Linked DNA regions of Oryzias latipes. The protein of the gene in region 4 binds, or shares a complex with, the protein of the main gene of each other region. Links are inferred from orthologs where the notes say so. Each region holds a gene or a part of one and is shown on either strand. Other genes may lie near its edges.

Region 1 (4,169 bases), on a different chromosome or scaffold from region 4:
CCTCTTCTTTTCTGTCCAGTCCAACAAAAAATGTATACAAACATAAAGAGAATAGATGAAGTTTAGCCTCTAATCCAAAATGGGTTTATGTAAATATACACCTTGTGTGTCCGAAGATTCATACCCCCTAGTCCACAGGAAGCAGCATCACACTGCTTAAATGGAACCATTATTAAACCAAAACAAGGCCATGGGTCCGAATCCCCCCCCCCCCCCCCCCCCCAATTCACGTGTATTTTCTCATACATGAGAATGAAAAATAAACTTTTAGGACAGTGGTTATTGTTAAAACCCACTCCGATGAGAATTGTATTTTGGGTGTTAACATGTTCTTTTAGAACATTCTGAATGAACATATATAAAGATTAAAGTGGCTTTTTCCAAATAATTGAATCACGAGCAGATGGAAAAATGCAGTTGGAAAAACTAAACCTAACTCACAGATTTACTGTAGTGTTCTGCCCAACATCACTTCAATACTACATTACTGGAAGAGCTGGGAATTGAACCAACAATGACTGCTTTCACTCCCAAAACAGCAGTCGAAGAGACGGTTGAGAGGTTAGTATTCCTCGTGGGTTTTTTGCCCTCAGAGCCCTATGGGTGATGTCAGAGATCACCAGTCCTGTCCAAATATATCTAGAAGCATCATCCTGTTTTTATTAATATGTATCTGTTAACAGGTGTGCTTCATTTAAATGTTTCTCCGTAATGTATTCTCTCTAAAAATCATCTCTCTTTGCTAACGGCCTCCCCGATGGAGCTTATCCAACTTCAGTAGTCCCGCTCTTCCATCCATTCGAGGACATGTATTTAACTCTAAGACACAACTCCTACCACTTTTCTTAGCAAAGTCTGAAACACTGACATCCCTGTCTGCATGGTGGTGTTGTCTCCTGCACATGCAGTCTGGTGCAGCTCTGTGCATAAGCTACTTTTCCTCTTTTCAGCAGCTTCTCAAAGGTTTCGAAGCAACAACAACACAACAGCCTGAACAATGAAAAATGTTCCATATCCGTGCTGTGTATGGGGCGGCATTCTTGTCCACGCAAACACGTAAACATGATGTACATTTAGTAAACCACAGGTGCTCAAAGGTTACCCGGATCGCAGTCAAACACTTTGATTAGAGTGGTGATAAAACCCGTTTATTTCCATTAAAATGGTGCAGAATATAGACCGAAGAAAGAAAGCCAGCTTTTATTAGCAGTATGAAGTTATCCTGCATGTCCAGGAAAAACTGAATTGTAAAGAAGACTGTTCCATTTTCCTCTATATTTCATCTAGTGCAGCGCGTCCAGAGTCCAGCAGGGGGCAGTAAACAGCCTTTGTGCGGCACAAACCCCCGATAAGCATAGAAGAAAGAAGACAAAGGCCACCGTCCCTATTTAAACCCACGTGAACACGTGTTACGGACGGATTCCGGATCTAACCTGCAGCAGAGCGGCGCACGCTCACGGAGAACCGCGCAAACGAGGGGGAGGGGTCAGGGAAGAGCACGCGCCGGTAGAGCCGCATGTGTTCAGGTAAGAGTGACACTGAACTCACCTGAGCGCATTTGTCCGCCACAGCATTCATGGAGAGGCCATTTCGACCAGCTGACAGGACATTCCCGATGACGTAAAAGGGCCCCGCCCAGTCGGTGCCTCGTAGTCGGTGATTTTTTTTTTAGAAGCATTTTTTTACATCCCAATATTTTCAACAGTGAATGCTTTATCTTTATTTTCGGATTTTTGGAAATGTTTCCTCCTGCAGGAGAAAAAAAAAACATCAGAACAATGTTCCTGTTTTCTCTGGGATTTGTGTACACTGTTCCTGTTTAAATAAAGTTTCAACAAATTAGAAACCAGGACAGGACTCCAGAGCTGTAGACCTAGAGAGTTCCTCTCTATAAGTCATTTTTCTGGCAGCATCCTCTGATGATTTTCCCTCCATCATGTCTCTCAGGTTGGTGTCTGCAGCTCAGCCGCCATCGTGGCTCCGTTTCATCTGTCTTTGCTTTTTTGTGCAGGAAGAGCTGCACCATGAGGGTCCCCATCCACCATCTGCAGAGGCTCACCATCTTCACTACCGTCCTGACGGGTGGGGGCGTTGGCACCATGTACTACCTGATGCAGAGTGAGTGCATGTGTGCGTGCACGCGTTGAAGCAATAGTCTGTTCAAAACAGAAACTCCTGGTTCCGCTTTACGGTCTGAAAGTGGCTCTGGTTTAGGAGTGGAACCCGCAAATGTCTTGGTCTGTCTCTCTGCTGCAGCCCCTTCATGTCTCTGTGACTCATGCACACGTACGTGCGCATGCTCTCTTTTCTGCTATCTCGTCAGAAAACTTTGCTGGGAGTGAATACCATCAACTCGCTGTGCGACAGCTGAAGGCGTGTCCTGTTGCCATGGAGAGCCTTGGAGCCCCGCCCTTACGAGTTCATAACATCCATCTGACTGACAGATACAACCGTGTGGACCATCAGGCAGCCCAGGTACAGTCTGTCAGGGGGGTGTCCAGCCGCTGTGTGATGATGAGTAAACTGACCAGTTTCTCCATTATCACAGGAAGATGAAAAATAGGATTATTTTTGCTAACAAAGTATTAGGCAGAAAAAAATATTCACAAATTAATTCTGTGCATTTGTATGCAGCCTGCTTATGCCGACATAACAGAAGGCAGAATAAATCCAGTTTAAACACACAGTTTAGTTGTGTGACATCCTCCAGAACAGGAAAAGCAGCAGAATTCTAGTTGTTACTTGTCAAATCTAGGTCTGAAACCTGTCCCACCTCAAATTAGGGCTGTGTATTGGCAAGAGTCTGGCGATACGATACGTATCCCAAAATTTTACCAAAACATATTTTCTTTTTTTCTTTAAATATGGCTTTGAAAAAACTCAACCTGAATTTCAATATGTCATCCACTGCAATAAAATGGTCAAATTCAGTTTATTAAATGATCACAATGTTAAGCGCTGCAATTGCGTCTCATGTATAAGTTCCATTTACCAAAGCAAATTCATAGTGCTTTTATTTTGGTAAGTTAAAATATAGAAAGGGAACAGTCAACATTGTTTGATTTCCACAACAAAATATTTTTCAGTATAAGAAAAACAAAGAATGAATGAGCCTTAACCAATAAGTTTCTATTGGGCAAATAAAATGCTGTTTATTTTCAACTTTGCTTAATGTAGCTTCTCCATTACTTTTAAACGGTTCAGGAGTCAGAATGGTGCTTCAAAAATAAAGGGTGGGGTGTGGGGGACACACTGATTATTTCCAGAAACAATAAAGTGATGATGAGGCAGCATGACGGAACGACGAAAAGATGCTTTAATGTGACAAAAGTGCTTTGTTTACATATTATCAGTCTCTGCCTGTGCTGCACCTTTGGCTTTCCAGCCACGCTTCATCTCACACGGAGGTAAACTAACGCTCCTCGCCACGATGTCGCCTTTTTTCAGAGCGTTGTACACATTCCTCTGATCCATCAGGTCGCTAAACTAGAATCTATTGCTGGGATGTTTTGCAGAATTTTAGCCCGCTTTGCTGATTAGCAGGTTTTTAGCCGATGCTAAGCGCATAAGCCTCTTTAGCCGCTGCCGTGCTTCACTCTTATTTATCTGAGCCGCTAAAAAGCATCACAATCCTCGTTTTTATATGTTGCTAGAAGCAACATATAAAAAGCAACATGGCTCAGAGTTTCTGTTTGGTATCCATCGCAAGTAAAAACGAAGTATTTCATGTCTCATAACAACAGAACAAGCTGCCTCTGGCTGCAGTCTTCCTGTTGTCTCGTGCAGAGTAGAGCTGCTCTAAGAGGCTCCGTGTTCTCTGCTGCCAACTAGCGGTCAGAGGATGAAGTGGAGAACAAGAGTCAGACGCTGAAGAGCGCTCAGAAATAATTAAATAAATATCGTTCTGGCAGTAGGGTTGGGCGATGTCCCTTAAATTGGCCGTTGACGATGTTTGCTGTCAATCATCGGTATGGACGATGATATCGTCGTGGGGGGGGCTATTTTTAATATTTCGGTCTTATATAATTGCTATTCGTTGTTTTACTTTATTACTTTATTTATTTTATTTCCCAACTAATGACTCATCCGCGATGATCCAGTATAAACTGAGGGAAGTGACTTTAACAAAAAAAGTAACAAACAAACTAGAAAAGAAACGGTCCGCTCCC
Region 2 (3,990 bases), on a different chromosome or scaffold from region 4:
ACAGGTTTGATTAAATTTTGTAAGGTTTTGAAGAAAAAAAATTAAACAATTTAAAAAATTGTTACAAAAAATGTCCACTTTTAGACGTTTTAAAACTTTTCTAGACATATATATTTTTTTGTACACTAACATTCTAAAGGTTTTCATGTAAAAAAAAGGATTGTTCTGATACCAAATTAACAGAACAAAGACAGTTGATATATTAACCTTTTTTGGAAGACATTTTAACAGAACTGTGAAAGAAATACACCAATTGATGACCAGTATAGAATATAATGGAATTTGATCAAATGGCTGAATTTTTCTCTGTTTGCATCACTTAAATGACTTTATTTTGCTGCGACTGATTTATTACAACTCTTCCTTAAAACTGCTTTCATGATTTATTCAAGGTATAAGTACTTACTAATGACAAGTCGTTTTGGAATTTTGGGCTTCAGGAAAAAATTGCGGATGTTATTTACTAAATTTGTGGTAATTAATCATTCAGTATCCATCCAGCAGAGAAAACACAAAAAAGGATAAGCTTGGTACTTCCAATTATATTGCTTAAATTATAGTTTTAATAATCTAATTTCATTTAAAAATGTTGTAACCTACATTTTGTTTCATACAATGTAACTCCTTTAGTAGTCAACGTCTGTTATTTAAATCCAGGTCATATATAAAAAAGATAATTTTAGAATGATTAAGGAAATGTTAAATAATTAAGTATTTACCCAGAAAATGGTCACTACCATTATTCAAAATAATATAATATAATATAATATAATATAATATAATATAATATAATATAATATAATATAATATAATATAATATAATATAATATAATATAATACAGTATAATATGATATAACATTACATAACATAACATAGTACAGTATAGTATAGTATAGTATAGTATAGTATATGATATGATATGATATGATATAATATAATATAATATAATATAATATAATATAATATAATATAATATAGTAAAATACAGTACTATATAATACAATACAATACAATACAATACAATACAATACAATATAATATAATATAATATAATATAATATAATATAATATAATATAATATAATATAATATAATATAATATAATATAATATAATATAATATAATATAATATAATATAATATAATATAAAAGTTTATTTTGCTTAAAAAACCTGACTTCATTCGGAAGAGGCGGTACTCGTTACCACACCGTGTTGTCTATGGGATTTGTAGTTTCATTCTTCTTACGTCAGCGGAAGTGTTTTCAGCGTCCGTTAGCTAGGTCACATTGATTGCCTCTGTTTTGTAATGTTTTGAGAGTCCCCCCATAATGGAAGCAACAAATACAGGTATGTAACGTCCTTTTATTAAAAAAAAATGCCTCGTCAAGTATAAAATGTATTCGGTAATTTCACCATAAAGATGAATATGTTATCTGGATGATAACTACTAGCCATTCCTCGGTGTCTTGCCATGATCATGCATGACGTTAGCGACATATCGATCCACGACGTTTTGGTAGTTGCAAACCGAACTCCACTTTATTTTTATTAGCTACATTAAATGTTTTGTAATTTTGCACATTAGGCGTTGTACCGTCATGATAAAGCCGTAGTCTTCATCAGTTTAATTTACTAATAAACCGTTTCCATCATCCTCGTTTGGCACACACATCTCTCTTGTTTACCTCCTTTTCTCCTGATCTGATACAGAGGAGGTCCATCTGAGACATGTGGAGACGGACGTGCTGATCCCCAAGATGATGAGGGAGAAAGCCAAGGAGCTTTGTGCGGACAAGGTTGATGGTGTGTTTACAGATAACTCAGCAAATACCAGTGAGCTGTGGGTTAAGCTGACTCCTTCTCTGTACAGCACACACAGATTCGTCTTCATTGTGGCCGTCATGAAAGGAGATCTTGATCACGTGTGAACTTTGAGTGACCTTGAGATCTAAAACCAAAAAAAAAAAAATATTTTTTCATTTTTCTGAGCAGTGTAGGATTTTATTTCACATTAAAACCTCTTGTGATGTTGCTGTCACCACATTAATTTGGACCAGCAACATCCACAGAGCTTGATGAACGTTGATGGCATTTTGGAACCGATAAGCGTAGGGGTGTCAAACTCATTTCCACCGAGGGCCACATCAGTATAGCAGCTGTCCTCAAAGGGCCGGATATAACTTATACATGTAACTAAATGTAATGAAACATACACGTAACTACTCCTTAATGTTAAACAACTAATTTATTTATTATTTATAACTTTTGAAAGTGACAATTACAGTTGCATAGAAAACATATGTTTGCTTGTTACTCTATCATAAATCCTTTTAAATTTGATTCTGTCAGGTTAGGTTATATGGACAGTGTTTAAGTCCTAATGTATGGTTGCCCAATCTGATATTTCAAGGCAGATTCCCCCCCTATATATATAAATACACACCAATTTTTATTTTTTATTTTAAGAAATCAAAAACTTTTATGCTCTCGGGGGCCACATAAAATGACATGGAGGGCCACATTTGGCCCCCGGGCCTTGAATTTGACATATGTGGATAAGAGGAAGGGACTCCTGTTGTAATGCCACTAAATCAACAGTTTTCTGATGGTTTCACAGTATCAGCAAAGTCTCAATTTTGGCCAATTATCTTTACATTTTTGGTCAAACCAAAAAACTCAGCACCTTGATAACACTTAAATATTAGAAATAATGATGTCTAACATGAGTTACTACAAATATAATGTATAAAAAGAAACAACAGTATAAAACACTGCAGAAAACAATAGTAAAATACATCTTTTTCATTATCACTGGTGTATGAGTAACCATCCTCAAAACTCTGGACATTGTACTTTTATTATTCATTTAATGTTTATGACTTTTTTTTTTAAATATGCATCCCTAAGTGCAGAACTCTTAAGATCACCAGTTTTTTTTCTAGTAAAGATTTGTGTTAATCAAATCAATTATTTGATTTCTAAAGCATCAGGTTAACGATTTGAAAATGGCATTAGACTTTTAGTCTCAAAGTCTTTCCATTCCTAATTTTTCCTTAAAATTTAAAGAAGTAAGGGGATAATCTGGATCAGTAAGTTTGACCCAAAAGTGAATTTAGTAAAAGTCTTGTTTGAGTAGGGCAGCATTTCATTAAATTAAATTCTTTGAGTTAAATTTATAGTAAAAACCTCAGAACAAATGGTAATGCAGGCTATTTTCAATAGTTGTTTCTTAATAAATACAGGTTTGTTTGAACGCGTTTGTATTTTTTAATATTTAATATTTTCTGTTAAAAAATAATTACAAACAATGGGACTGATTTAGTTGTGGCTAACCAGCATATTTTACATTAATAATAGTTTGACAGTTATATTGGCAGTTTTTTCCTCTTCTTGGGTCTCTCCTTTCTATTCCTTAAACATTTGACTTGTGTGCTGCTAAACTTTTGCTGTGAATTATATTTAAAGGCCAGGCTAACTGGCATGCCAGCAGTAACTACATCATCTGCACAGAAACACTGCCCGTAGTCTTGCTCGTGCAGTGCTACAGGGCAACTGCAGCGATGCATCAACCAGAGTGACTAAGTTATGTGGTTTGTAAAAATCTGATCACAGCCAGTGTGCGCTGCTTACGCGAGGAGAAGGGTGCACATTCAGGCTGGGGTGATGGGACAGACAGTGGCTATGTGGTAATGGAAACCCCCCTCATCTTACAAGCTTCTCGTCCCACTCATTTTCACACCTTCATCCTCCACCCTCTCATGCTGTGTGCTTGTGTCTGCACACGTGTGTCTGTGTTGGAGTTTTACAAAGAAACGTGAAAAACGCCTGGCAGCACGTTCACTGTGTTTTTGTCTTTACACACAAGCAGCCCACACTTGGATTTTGTGGGCTTTGAGAAAGGCGCGTTCTACTGACCCCAACCCGTCATGATTTTTCCCACTGAATAGATGATTCACGCTAATATTTTAATGTCTTTCAGAACAGCCTAC
Region 3 (4,093 bases), on a different chromosome or scaffold from region 4:
AAAAGCTCCTCATCTGTTGTCCTCCACAACAATAGTCCGTCTCGGGTAGGTATCTATTTCTACAAATACATAACGGAATTCATACTTTCCAGTTTCAAGATTCTGCAAAACAACAAGGATACCATTATCTCAACTGATCAAAAAATCCACACAAGAAACAACAGGTTTCCATTTAAATAAAGACTTACCTCTTTAGACTCTGAATGCACCGTCCCTTTCAGGCCCGGCTCCGATCCCTCAATGTAAAACTTTAGTCTCATGTGCTTAAGTCCATCCTTTACATACTCCACGTGACTGAAGTGGAAATATGAGAATAAGGAATAAAAAAACTCCAACAATAACATATATATGTAATAACCTTAACATTTTGTAACTCCATTCTTCCAGAGCTCCAGATTCTCAGATGCTTACAATAAATCAGCACGAATACCACGTTAGCTCTTCAAAAGACAATAAAAACTTTTATGTTTCATAGCTGTGGGGTCTGAAACTAAATTCTCCTTCATGACAAGTTTTGCATAAACGTTGAAGGAAATTCAATGCTGCTGAAAATATGATTTATAGCTGATGTTCACAGGTTGTGATTCTGAAAGGAAGTCCTTCAAATCCTGCAAAAGCATTTCCTCTAAAACTAAAGGCAGCTGCTTGTTATGCCAAGTTTGATCAGATTTACTGTATTCTATACCATGAATCAATGAATGCTAAAGCAACATTTTGCAAGTAAGAAAAAGTTCAATAAGATAAGATAAAGTGTCAACACACCTGACTTGCTGCCTTCTCCCTCGGCGGGTGGTCTCACCGTAACATTTAATTGGTTCTCCAAATGCCCCAATAACCTGCAATTGATTATGTATTTCTTACTTTTATTTTGGAAAAACAATGATTTCTAGCCATTTCAACAGTAAAAAAATATTGATAGGAGACGCCGTCTGGCTTGATTTTTACCTCTGGGTGCGACCTGACTTTGTCAAAGGCTCTGCTGTAGACTTTATTTGGGCTGGTAGAGGAAAACAGCTCTTGGAACACCACATATAACAGCCCCCCTGACCAACACAGCAGAAAACTGCAGCTGATTATTTAGGTTGTGTGTTCTGGGACCAAATAAATAAATATATAAACAAGCAATGTGGGATTGTTGTGTAGCCATTCCTTGGACTCGTGCAGTTCAATTCACCTGTTACTCCAAGCCCGATGAGGACCACGATCAGGTAGGTGAAGTCTCTCCCAGCATCTTTGACTGAAAGACAAACAGAGCAGAGGCTCTTGAGTGGCCAATGCATAGTGGAAGAGTTTAGATTTATAAGCAAAATTTAACCCAGAGTGAAAATATTCCAGGTTTGATATAAAAGGAAACTGTGTGTCTGTGCAGACGGGTAGCTCTATTAGACTGCGGCTATAAGAGATGACAAGAGGAGGAGGAACTCATCAACATAACGTTAGGTCTGGCCCTCTAGTATGCCCCGAGGTATTATGATGACAAGTCCTAAAGATCTTTAGTTAGTTAGTTTCTGCAGAGCAGCAGTAGTTCAATAGAAATTGACCACTGTGCTGTTGGCGTGGAGCAAGCCTGCTCCACTTCCCATCACCAACCTATTACCCGCTCCCCCTCACACCCCCAACCTAACGTTACCAGAGTTAGTAATTACTTCATTACTTTAAAAATAATGACATAAAAATAGAATAAAGGAGCAAATTCTTGGTCTGGAATATATATATTCCAATGCTGGAATAAATGCAAAATGAAATATATCCATTGATTTGATGAATTAATGCAGAATTTATCTTCAAGATTAATTTGGATTTTCTTTTCTTTTTTCAATAAACCTTGTTCAATTGGATTTGGCATTGCTTATTTCAAGCAACCAAAGCAAAAACAATGCTGAAAACTACACAATCAACATCCATACAAACTAAGATGTATCAAACATAGAATATTTAGTCATTTAATTAAAGATGGCTTGAAAGGGAGTGGAAGGAAGCAAACTTATCAAACTTAACATTTTCTTTACATGAAGTATCCGGTTCATAACTTCTAAGCGGATATTTATACCTTACCAACACAGTTTCAGGTCATTAAGAATCTTTAGGTATCAATAAATCACATGAAAAAGATGAAGTACATAAAGTGAGTGAATGAGGTATAGACTAAAGAGGGCCCAGAACAGAAACCTGAGGAACACCACAGGAAAGGGAGTAGGAGTTATTACTTGCCAAGAAACTTTGAAAGCAGCTTTGGTTGTAAGAAAACAAAATGGGCGGTCCTAAAACAAGATTTTTAGTTTTTTCTAAATAAAATAGTAGCTTTAAACCCCATTTAAAGAGACAAGACAGTAAATATGCGTTTAGTTGCACAAATCTGAAATGGGCATACCTTTCTGAGCAGAGGACACTTTAGGACTCTGGTAGGCAGAAACAGACCTGTGCTTCTCCTCCTTGTTTCTGAGGATAACGTGAACAGAAAAGCGTCTTCGTGTTTGACAGAGACAGCTCAGGGCGGACACAGGAGCCTCTGACCCACGGACGGACAGGCCGGGGATGACCGCTCCTGCTCTGCGTGTGAACAACAGCACGCCAGCCTGCTGCACGGGGAGAAATGTTTTCCCGGAGCTCCGCACACTTTGTTGCACGGCTTTTAAAATGTGCGTGAAAGACATTATTTTATCCGACGGACAATATCTGAAAAAAAGAAAAGAAAACAGCAGCTCATCTACTGAAAATAAGAATCAAATAACAGCGGTCTTTCATGGTAACATGGAATTGCAATGCTGGAAACCGCCATTCAGACCTCTGATTCACTGACCTGCTGGGTCGATCAGACGTCGAGGATTTTCTAAAGATGGCTACTGCCCCCTTCTGTCCCGGATGTCAAACTGCAGCCTTATTTGTGGTCTGGGGCTTTTTTGACCTTACGTCGTATTTCGCTTTATTGATTTATCTTCAAATCGGTTTTTGCGGCAATGCTTGATTTCCATCCTCTTTTTAAAAACCCACACTTCGTTTTACTGATTTTGTTTTCATTATACTGCACAATAACTCCACAATGAAGTTGAAACTGTCCAAAAAAGTCAATTCTGAGTGATAAATGTGGTCTTTTTTCTGCTAAAGATTCAAGATTCAAGAATTCTTGAAAAAAGACCACATTTTTTAGCAGAAAAAATGTGGTCTTTTTTCTGCTAAAACAATGATTAAAAAATTGAGATCAAACAGTTTTTATGTTTTATAACAAAGGTAAAACGTGTTGAGACAAAACAAAGTTATAAATCCAAAAAAACAAAACATGCAACAATTTAGACATACTTAATTAGAAGCAGAGTTTTTTCAACATAAAAATAATTCACTTAAGGTTTCAAACTTATTGACTTGGTACTTAGGATTATGTAAATACTTTAAATAGACCCTTAATTAATACAAGTTTTTTTTTTAATTACAGGTATAATTTATTTTAAAAGGATCCTTTCATGTTGATAAAAAATGAAAGGAAAACAAATTACTGCTCACTACAGCATTACTGGCTAAGGACTTAAATGCACAGCAGACATGAATATGTATTTGCTGAATGGCTGTTTGAGTCAGCACTCCCACAAATTTCAGAAACATCTGATAAATGCATATATTTTCTTTCCTATTTCAATTAAAGTTGCACTTTCCTGAAAGCAAATCCACATGATTGAGATTTTATAACAATGTTATTTAGTGTCTTTGTGATTATCAATTACATTTTTGGGGCTGCTTGAAGTTGATTTATTCCGAAACAATATTCCTGTCTGTTTTTATTCAAATTTTTGTTCAAAATAAGTTTAAAATGTTTGAAAACGTATCTTTAATGTGTTCACTAAATGTTTATCCTGTTCGGCCCACAACCTGGACCCCTGTGCAATTGAGTTTGACACCCTTGTAATACGAGTATATAAAATTCTTACATTTGTGTTGATTTTTGTGTTAATTAAAAATAGGGAACACAAAACGATGTGGTCAATGTGGGTGTGGGGGGGGTTGTAAGTCAGTGTAGAACTGCCACTGAACAAAATATTTCCATTGTCACACCAGCTTCCTTCTTCCTCAGGGGATTGGTCAAATACAAAACTGGTCAATT
Region 4 (4,159 bases):
AGCCTTTAACCACAAGAGCAATGTGGGGCTCTGTGTTTTGCCCAAGGTCATGTCAACACAGGGGTGGGCAAGGCAGGAACCAAACTTCAGGTCAACCGCTCTAGCCCTGTTACAGTACTCTCACATCTACTGATTTTAAAATGGTGGGATGAAAACACCAGATTAGTTACCAAAGTCTGCATCGATTAAGATGGGAGCGGCTCCAGTGACGTGGCTCATGGCTTCCAGGTCCCGGTAATGCCAGCGGTTTCTTTCCACGTCATTGTTTGGTACGAACGGCTTCCGGTTCTCCGACAGCCTGATGATGCCGACCACCTCCACCTCATCCTCCACCTGTGTGGAGAACCAGAAAAACTTGATTGACAGTGCAAGAATCTGCAAAAACTATACAGCATTTATCAGACTATTTTCAATAAACCATTTAAAAAATGGGAACATAAATATTTTAGGATCTATGATTTATGTAAAGCATGTGTAGAACACTCTACTTTTTCTACATATTTCAATGCAACAGCCTATTTTACTAAATATTTTTCAAAATTCTATTTAACACCACACAGCAAAGGTAAAATATTGCTTTAAAAGGTGTTCAGTTATACTCAATTAGTAGATTCTATTATTTTTCCCTTTTCTAGCTGAACAGTTTTCACTGTCTTTATGGAGTTTCATGATCAGAAATCTGAGATTAAAAAGACCCCCCCCCCCCCCCATTTTGTGTAACGTTGTTGCAAGAAAAAGTTCAGTTAAACTTGAGATGTACGTGGTTAACTGAGGAAGCTCAGTGACTTTCACAATAAAAGCAAAGCTTTAGAAATGCTTCAGAGCACAACTGTATTAGCTTGTATTAAAATCACATGTTAAACGTATTTTTCTTCAAGAACATCACTCAGACCTGCCCCTTCATCCTGGTCTCTGGTCTGATCTTCTGCCTGGGGACGTATCCTCTGTTCACCAGAATCGTGATGCTGCAGCGACAACACAAACGGAGCAGAACTTGTAGCATCTGTGTGCGTTCGGTTCCGTGACGGCTTTTGCAGCTCCTTACCCGAGGTCGATGCACTGGAATGGTGTGACGACGTTGGCACCGGTCTCTCCACTTGAAGACAGGCTGCCAGCCTCTCTGGCCTCCTTCTCTGGGTCGACAGGGGAGCGCGGCATGATGTAGAGCTCCTTTGAATGATCATAGCGCCCACGCACCCTCACTCTCCGGTACTCCAGCTTATTCACCTCATTAGGACTGAGACACAGGATGAGAAAGGAAAGTAAAACCGGCTAAAGGGAACACAAAATTTACATACTTGCTTTTATTTTGATAATATTAATGAATGTTAAAATATCTGTAAAAGATTGAGATATTTAGACACTTTGACAACTTTGTGGGGAAAATTTACATGCAAGTAGTACATATAGCCTCGATCTCAGAAACGACGTTGTGATCATCTATTTATGCGAACCCAGATCTGAGTACTTACTCAAGTGGAAGTGGAATGGGTTCTTCTGTGGTGAGGCGGTGCAGATCATCGATCAGTCCCATTTTCCACTGACGCCGTTTCACCTGCACGAACATGATCAAATCATTTTATAAAACATCTACACATCAGAGGGGAAAACAAGTTCAGTAAAAACTAAATCTGGATGTACCTGCCATGTACCGAGGCCGAAAGTAGTGGCAGGGATGAGCAGCAGAAACCACTTGAGGAACGAGTCTTCAGTTTTGTCTGCTTTGACTGCTGTAGAGCTGCACAGACGCCCAAAGCTGAAAACCCTGCCTACATAGCATGAAAAAACAGAAATGATACATAAATGGGGAAAGATTACAGAATGTAATTTGTTCAAATAAAACAACAAAAACTGATCTATTTGGTAGATTGGTTGTAACAATACTTCTTGGCAAAAGTATATTATTAGACCATATTAAACTTATAACCCCCTTTAGTGATACCACATTTGCAAATAACATTTTCCAACTTTAAAAATAAAAAACCTCTAAAAACACAATCTACATCCTCTTTATCAGTAGCAATAATTGTATATATATTTTTGGTTTATTTTTAGTTTTTTGTCAGATCTGCTGCTCATCCCACAAGTGCTTGATTTCAATTCCAATAAGAAACAAATTTCAAGTATAAAACCTGGTTTTCAAAGTAAAAGCTTTATTTACATGATACATTCTAACAACCTGTAAAGAGACTTACCAAAAACAAATTTACTTACTTTTTTTGCTATGTTACATTTTGCATATTTATAAAGTAATAATATTTGCTTTTTGTAGACGTTCTAACTTAATCCCCACCAATATGCCACCACAAAAACAATAAATGTAGAGATATAAAGGATTTACGCTACAGAGGGAGTAGATAGAAACCAAATCATACAGGCAAAACATTTCCTAGCATTCTAAAAACCCACATAAAATCATCTGGTAAAATATCATAATAGTAATAAATGTATTACCGTTTGAACGCTTCAAGAGTTTGGGCAGAAAAAGGTTCCTCTGGATGTAAACAACATGATGGGACTAAATTTAATATAACACAAATTGAAATTAGATGCACTCTTTTCGTGTATCATCATGACTTTGAAATTGACGGTGATTAAAAAAACACCCAAAATTAAGGTTAAGCATAAAAAACTCACCTGTTTGTGAAGAAGCCTGTTCGAAAAGGCTACTAGGGATTTAATATAAGCCATGGTTGATCATAATTATGAATATAATCAAGAAAAGGTTTGAAGATCAACTACATAACAGCTACATTGATGTGTTTGTGCCCGGAGTTTTTCTCGGTGTTACTACTTCCGGTGTGTTTGTTCGTCCCTCCCACTTGTCGAAGGTTCCCACGTGCGCACAGGAATGTGTTCGTGACTATCAAATGTACTTATTTTCCCACTCCTACGTCTGATTTAAACAATTTAGATCTGTTTTTTAACATGGACCTCGCTGCGAAGGACGCGTACATTCAGAAATTTGCAAGTAAAGTCTTTCATCAGCACCAGGAATCTAAAGAGAGACCGTTTGGTAAGTTCAACTAACCATTTATTTACTAAAACGTTTTAACGGAAGAACGGAGGAAAGTTAGCTTGTTGTTCTTTTATAAACATTGAGTTAGTCCATAATGCACTTCTGGTGTGATACCCATGTTAACCAAAAGAGGCGCCAAATTCCTTTAATGCTTTACTGTAATTTCACTTTTACCTACTTGGAGGAAAGACATTTTATTTTTTTAATTAAATAAACTTTTTTTTAGGTTACTTGTCGAATGTTTTGCTGGTGATTTTTTTTGTCATGTTTATTTTGAAATCCTAATAATAACTTAAAAAAACCTATTGCAAAACCTATGAAATTGTTATGTTATCAGAAATTAATTACATTGTTAAATAAATTCTTGATGTTGGGAACAAACTACTTGGAAAATTCCTATTTTTCTGCAGCATTATGAATAAAAATAGCCTTATAAAAATGAGATAAGACATTTTTCACACCTTTATTTAAACTACTAAAATCATCCCAGTTTCGGTAACAGAAATGCAGAATATGATATAAGGCAAAAAATACAAAGCTAAAACGTTTTAAAAGAAAAACAAATATTCATATTTAAAAGACTATTTGTCATTACCCATCAATATTGTTAATATTTTTATTATTAGGCTGATTGATTAGAGAGTCCTGCTGCCTCTTGGATCCCTCCACAGTGTGGTCCAAAGGATGTGAGGCATTGTTCCTAACGTATGTAAAGGTTGACCTCTGACCTCGATTTTCTTAATAAGGTCCAACAGGCAGTCCAAGACAGAACTGACTTTCTTTTTCACTAGTGTGAGTCATTTGTCTGCTCCGCCATCAGCCCAACACCCAGAAAATATGACTTTTATAAAAACAGAAGCTGTTTCCAATAAATTCCATCTCTGAATGGGGGAAAAGTCAAACACAGTGTGACCTGCCACTGCTGGTAATTGAGGAACATTATCTGAATATTATTATTATCTGAATTATTCCTGTCAGTCTGATGGTGCAGCCGAACACATCAGTTTTTTGTATGAAATGTGTTTTAATTGTTTTTGTTGTAAATATGCATTATTTGAGCATAAAAGGTTTTTTGTTTGTGTGTTTTAAGTTTATTACAGAGGTAAAAGCACAACTGATCCTCAAAAGAAGAAGAAGAAG
Region 5 (4,083 bases), on a different chromosome or scaffold from region 4:
GTAGAATCAGTGCTTTGCAGAGCAGACGTTTGCTTTAATAGATATTAAATCCCGCAATAGTTATTAAAAAGATAATAATCATAAATGGAGATTAAAGAAATAATGTAATTAAACTGAAAGTTACAAAAGAAACAAAATACTACAGCAAATGCAGTTGCACATGGTTTTTAACTTGTGCTTTATTTCTTAATTTAGCTCCAAACAATGTGTTTTTTAATTTTGAGTTTCAGAAAATTCAGAAAATGTTTAGGCCAAATGTGGACATTTTAGTCATTATTGTAATTATCAAATGATTACAGAGGATGTAGAAAGTGATCCTGTGACAAAATAAAGTTGATCTAAAAGAGCAGCCGGGCTGCCTTCACTTTTCTGTGACTCAAATCCAATAAAAATGTCAAACTGTTTCGCTTTCATGGCGTTTTTTGTTAAGGATAAGAAATCCGACCAAAATACTTTCACAGATTCTTTTCAAAAATTGATTTCACTTAATCTGCCATCCATACTTAAAGTAAAAACATTTGTTTATTGTTTTTAATTGATTAAAAACGGACCCAAGAAGTGTTTTGGAATGACAAAATATACAAAAAGATTCCTCTTTTGTGAGGAAAGTTGATCCAAACATTTCTCTTTTTTTTTTTTTTTTTACCAGTATTGTCAAAGCTCCTGTAAGCATCATTTCACCCGCTTTTTTGAATTCAGCGACCTTTTCTTACCCACAGGCTGCACATCTTCCTGGTTTATTCCGGACCGATTTATCCTCTGAGTTTGTCCTAAAAAGGAGCACAGCATTTCAGTTAGATTCTTTATTCTAGGGAAAATTTTCATGCTATGATCCATTTCAAAAAATTTCTAGAAATGTTTGATTTCAAATGTTTTTAAAAAAAATTAAGGAAGGAGAGTCTAAAGCTTCAGTTTAGGGAACATATTTGCCGGTGATTGTGAAAATCATTACAGGGGTTGTATTTTTATAATAGTAACATTGCAAAGGTGCAGAAAATCCATGGAAAAAATAAATAAATATTATTATTACTTAAATAATATAACAGTTAAAAAAAATCCTACTTTAAAGAGCTAATTTCAGAAAACCTGATTCATTCGTGACATTATAGTGTGACCTCAAGTAGCTTGAAGTAGTTAGGATTCAGTTTGACCTAAAACCTTCAGATCCTGCTGCTTACATGAACACATCTGGATTTCTCCAAAGATGGAGATTTCTGGAAGAGTTATTCAAGCAGGAAGTCCGAATCTGTGACCATCTTTCTAACTTTACCAAATCCTCTGAGTGCTGCACTCTGATTGGTTAACTCCCCCCTCCTCTAACCCTCCCTTCCCCCAGTTCCATTATCAGACACAGATCAGTTTTGACACAAGTTTCTTGCAAGGAATGTGTCAGAATTCAGAGCGCAGTTGTAGCGCACTTGTGATTTGCGCCAGCAGATTCGAGCAGACGCAGAAGCACATTTGAGCAGTTGGAATCACATATTTGACGTTGTAACTCTAAATGAACACATGCAAATGGGAATTTCTCAGTTCACAGCAAAAGATTTTTACACAAAGATGCAGAATTTTGTTGTGCAAGTATTCACATTCTATATTACAAGATCTCACATCAAATCAAAAGTGCGTTCTTTTTGGAACATATTTACCTTCATAAAGAACAGTCAGATTTGTTTTTTTAGTTGTGTATTTTGATGCCTAAGAATGAACTTTTTCTGTTGTTTTTTGTTTCAGAAGTTTATTTGAACTGCCTTTTTCCCACATCCGATGCAGAAAAACTTAAAATAAATCAGGCAAACATAAATCCTTGAAGCAGGAAATAGAATTTTTGGAGAGACATCTGGCCCAAATACTATTACCAGCCATAATCCATTAAAGATATCAGGCTTTTTTCACCTCAGTAAGCAGACTACTGTTGAAATCAGATCATGATCGGTGTGCATGCAAACTGTTAAATAGCAGCGGCTGAAAAGATAGCTTTTTTTATTTTATTTAATTGTACTTTCTCCTTCATTTATGTTATTTATTATTATCATTATCATCATTATTCACATTATTATTAGTAGTAGTAGTTGATTTTCTCTTTTTCTATTATTATTTTTAATAGTAGTACTAGTACTAGAAGCAGTATTAGTAGTCGTTTTCTTGTCTTTTTCTTGGGCAGACTTAATAAATAAGCTTCTTCCTGCTCTATTTCAAACATGTTTTCTATTGTTGTACTATTTTTGCTGTAGCTGTTTTTATTCATGTTTTCATCTTTAGATTTGCATCATTTTGACTGTATTATTTTTAATTATAAACATGTTTGGGGGAAAAACATAGAACCTATGAGGAAAATTACTTTAAAAGTTTGCTTATTTTCAGCTTTGAGGACAAAATACTCAAATGGAATTAAACTACTAGCTAGCTAAAAGTTAGAAGCTAGCTTCCAAAAGCAGTTTAAATAAAAAAAAAAATACTTCAGTACCGGTACTTCAAATATTTTTTTCAAAACAGCCTTTAGTTTGATTTAGGAGAATATCTTTAGAAAATATATAAAAATATTTGTGACGTTTACATGACATTGTATAAGAGCTAAAAAAATAAATAAATACAAGCTGTTAGCTACTTACTGTACTCGTCTCTGTGCGTCAGAGGATAGACGAAAATAGGATATAAAGCAGCGGCGACTGTTGTTATAAAACCCCCAAAAATCAGCGCTATTCTTATATTTTTCGACATTTTTCTAGCTTGGTAGGACGTAACCTAGCATTAAAGACACCCCGTGTTTACAACTTGTACTTCCGGGGAAAAGGTTACGCTGTCACATTTTTTTTGACAAATCTTTATTTAAAAACCAAAAATGACAAACAGCAAGGAACACAGAGCAATACACTGTATATCAATTTTGATAGATAAACGCTAGGGGTTATGAAAGTAAAATTATGTTAATCTATTAAACTGAGCCTAAAATCACTTCTAGTGAATGATATAGAAATTACAGATGAAAAGGCTGTATCCTCAGAAATTTACAGATTTTATAGCCACCTTTACAGCTCTAAATTTTCAAGAGCAGACTGTGACAACTTTATAAAAGAGATTCCCCACATCCCCAAAATAGACGACAATTTTAAACAAACATGCGATAAACAACTTTTAATCTCTGAGCTTGATGCTGTCATTAATCGACTCTCTCTTAATAAATCTCCTGGTTCAGATGGGCTCACAGGCGACTTTTATAGACACTTTTGGGAAGATATCAGAAAATTACTGTATCAAGTCTTCTTGGAAATCTTGAAATTTGGCCATTTATATTACGAATTGTTATGACATCAAAAAGTTAAATGTCTTGGGTACAGAGCTTATTATTGGCCAGCTAGCAGATGACACAACACTGTTTTTAAAAGATGAGCATCAAATCAAAGCAGCTATTGAAAAAGTAAAACACTTTTCCAAAGCGTCAGGGTCAAACTTAAATTTAAAGAAATTGTGAACTGTTGACTATTCATGACACACCTTTAAAAGAAATCAATCATATGCCCATTAAATCAGAAATTAAATACTTGGGGATCTACATCACCAAAGACCAAAAAATAAGCTAATCAAGGAATGTGGGTGAAAAACTGGATGAATGTGAGACAGAGTTAAATATGTGGCTCCAAAGAGACATGTCGATGCAGGGCCGGATCTATCTGACAAAGATGGAGTGTTTGTCAAGATGTATTTACCCATCTTACTCTAATGCCATCCCAAACAAAATGATAAAATCCATCTGCCAAATGACTTTAAACTTTATTTGGAGAAACAAGCATCATTACATGAAAAATAAATATGGTCAAAGAATTTAAAGATGGTGGTCTCAAAGTTATGAATTTTGACTGCCGTAACGGAATCCTATAGATAAAATCGTGGATCAAACACAACCAATCTTTCAATCTAGCATTATCAGAGTTCCACAATTCTGCTATACTGGAAAATATTGTATGTGCATCGCCATTTTTAAGTACTATTTGGAACAATGAATACATGCTCCATAGAAACAAGTCCTTGTTTTGTGCTGAATGGTTTGGGCAAAGTGTTTGGTCGGTGACTGATCTGATGGACACG

What was found. Proteins that work in one complex are often made in the same cells at the same time.
Region 1: surfeit locus protein 1 (region 4) and cytochrome c oxidase assembly factor 1 homolog share a complex: the UniProt entries of both Homo sapiens proteins name them as parts of the MITRAC (mitochondrial translation regulation assembly intermediate of cytochrome c oxidase complex) complex. The link is inferred for Oryzias latipes from reciprocal best matches to the Homo sapiens genes SURF1 and COA1.
Region 2: surfeit locus protein 1 (region 4) and cmc1 share a complex: the UniProt entries of both Homo sapiens proteins name them as parts of the MITRAC (mitochondrial translation regulation assembly intermediate of cytochrome c oxidase complex) complex. The link is inferred for Oryzias latipes from reciprocal best matches to the Homo sapiens genes SURF1 and CMC1.
Region 3: surfeit locus protein 1 (region 4) and timm21 share a complex: the UniProt entries of both Homo sapiens proteins name them as parts of the MITRAC (mitochondrial translation regulation assembly intermediate of cytochrome c oxidase complex) complex. The link is inferred for Oryzias latipes from reciprocal best matches to the Homo sapiens genes SURF1 and TIMM21.
Region 5: surfeit locus protein 1 (region 4) and smim20 share a complex: the UniProt entries of both Homo sapiens proteins name them as parts of the MITRAC (mitochondrial translation regulation assembly intermediate of cytochrome c oxidase complex) complex. The link is inferred for Oryzias latipes from reciprocal best matches to the Homo sapiens genes SURF1 and SMIM20.

The regions. Positions count from the first base shown.
Region 1 is NC_019875.2:5,297,554-5,301,722, forward strand, and holds the start of cytochrome c oxidase assembly factor 1 homolog, read left to right. Parts: upstream 1-1,369; 5' UTR 1,370-1,526; intron 1,527-1,548; coding exon of another isoform or gene 1,549-1,574; exon of another isoform or gene 1,575-1,649; intron 1,650-2,011; 5' UTR 2,012-2,024; coding exon 2,025-2,118; intron 2,119-2,323; coding exon 2,324-2,475; intron 2,476-4,169. Other genes in the region: blvra (biliverdin reductase A), read right to left, coding at 1,549-1,574. UniProt on the Homo sapiens protein: Component of the MITRAC (mitochondrial translation regulation assembly intermediate of cytochrome c oxidase complex) complex, that regulates cytochrome c oxidase assembly.
Region 2 is NC_019874.2:13,407,157-13,411,146, reverse strand, and holds the start of cmc1 (COX assembly mitochondrial protein homolog), read left to right. Parts: upstream 1-1,190; 5' UTR 1,191-1,329; coding exon 1,330-1,348; intron 1,349-1,711; coding exon 1,712-1,804; intron 1,805-3,990. UniProt on the Homo sapiens protein: Component of the MITRAC (mitochondrial translation regulation assembly intermediate of cytochrome c oxidase complex) complex, that regulates cytochrome c oxidase assembly.
Region 3 is NC_019878.2:15,518,283-15,522,375, forward strand, and holds the start of timm21 (mitochondrial import inner membrane translocase subunit Tim21), read right to left. Parts: upstream 2,801-4,093; 5' UTR 2,786-2,800; intron 2,677-2,785; 5' UTR 2,655-2,676; coding exon 2,372-2,654; intron 1,238-2,371; coding exon 1,175-1,237; intron 1,044-1,174; coding exon 946-1,043; intron 837-945; coding exon 763-836; intron 295-762; coding exon 189-294; intron 103-188; coding exon 10-102; 3' UTR 1-9. UniProt on the Homo sapiens protein: Participates in the translocation of transit peptide-containing proteins across the mitochondrial inner membrane.
Region 4 is NC_019870.2:7,761,603-7,765,761, forward strand, and holds the start of surfeit locus protein 1, read right to left. Parts: upstream 2,801-4,159; 5' UTR 2,692-2,800; coding exon 2,638-2,691; intron 2,519-2,637; coding exon 2,455-2,518; intron 1,770-2,454; coding exon 1,642-1,769; intron 1,556-1,641; coding exon 1,473-1,555; intron 1,238-1,472; coding exon 1,046-1,237; intron 966-1,045; coding exon 893-965; intron 334-892; coding exon 171-333; intron 1-170. Other genes in the region: surf6 (surfeit locus protein 6), read left to right, coding at 2,929-3,016, 4,110-4,159. UniProt on the Homo sapiens protein: Component of the MITRAC (mitochondrial translation regulation assembly intermediate of cytochrome c oxidase complex) complex, that regulates cytochrome c oxidase assembly.
Region 5 is NC_019876.2:17,386,078-17,390,160, forward strand, and holds the start of smim20 (small integral membrane protein 20), read right to left. Parts: upstream 2,801-4,083; 5' UTR 2,719-2,800; coding exon 2,610-2,718; intron 771-2,609; coding exon 714-770; intron 1-713.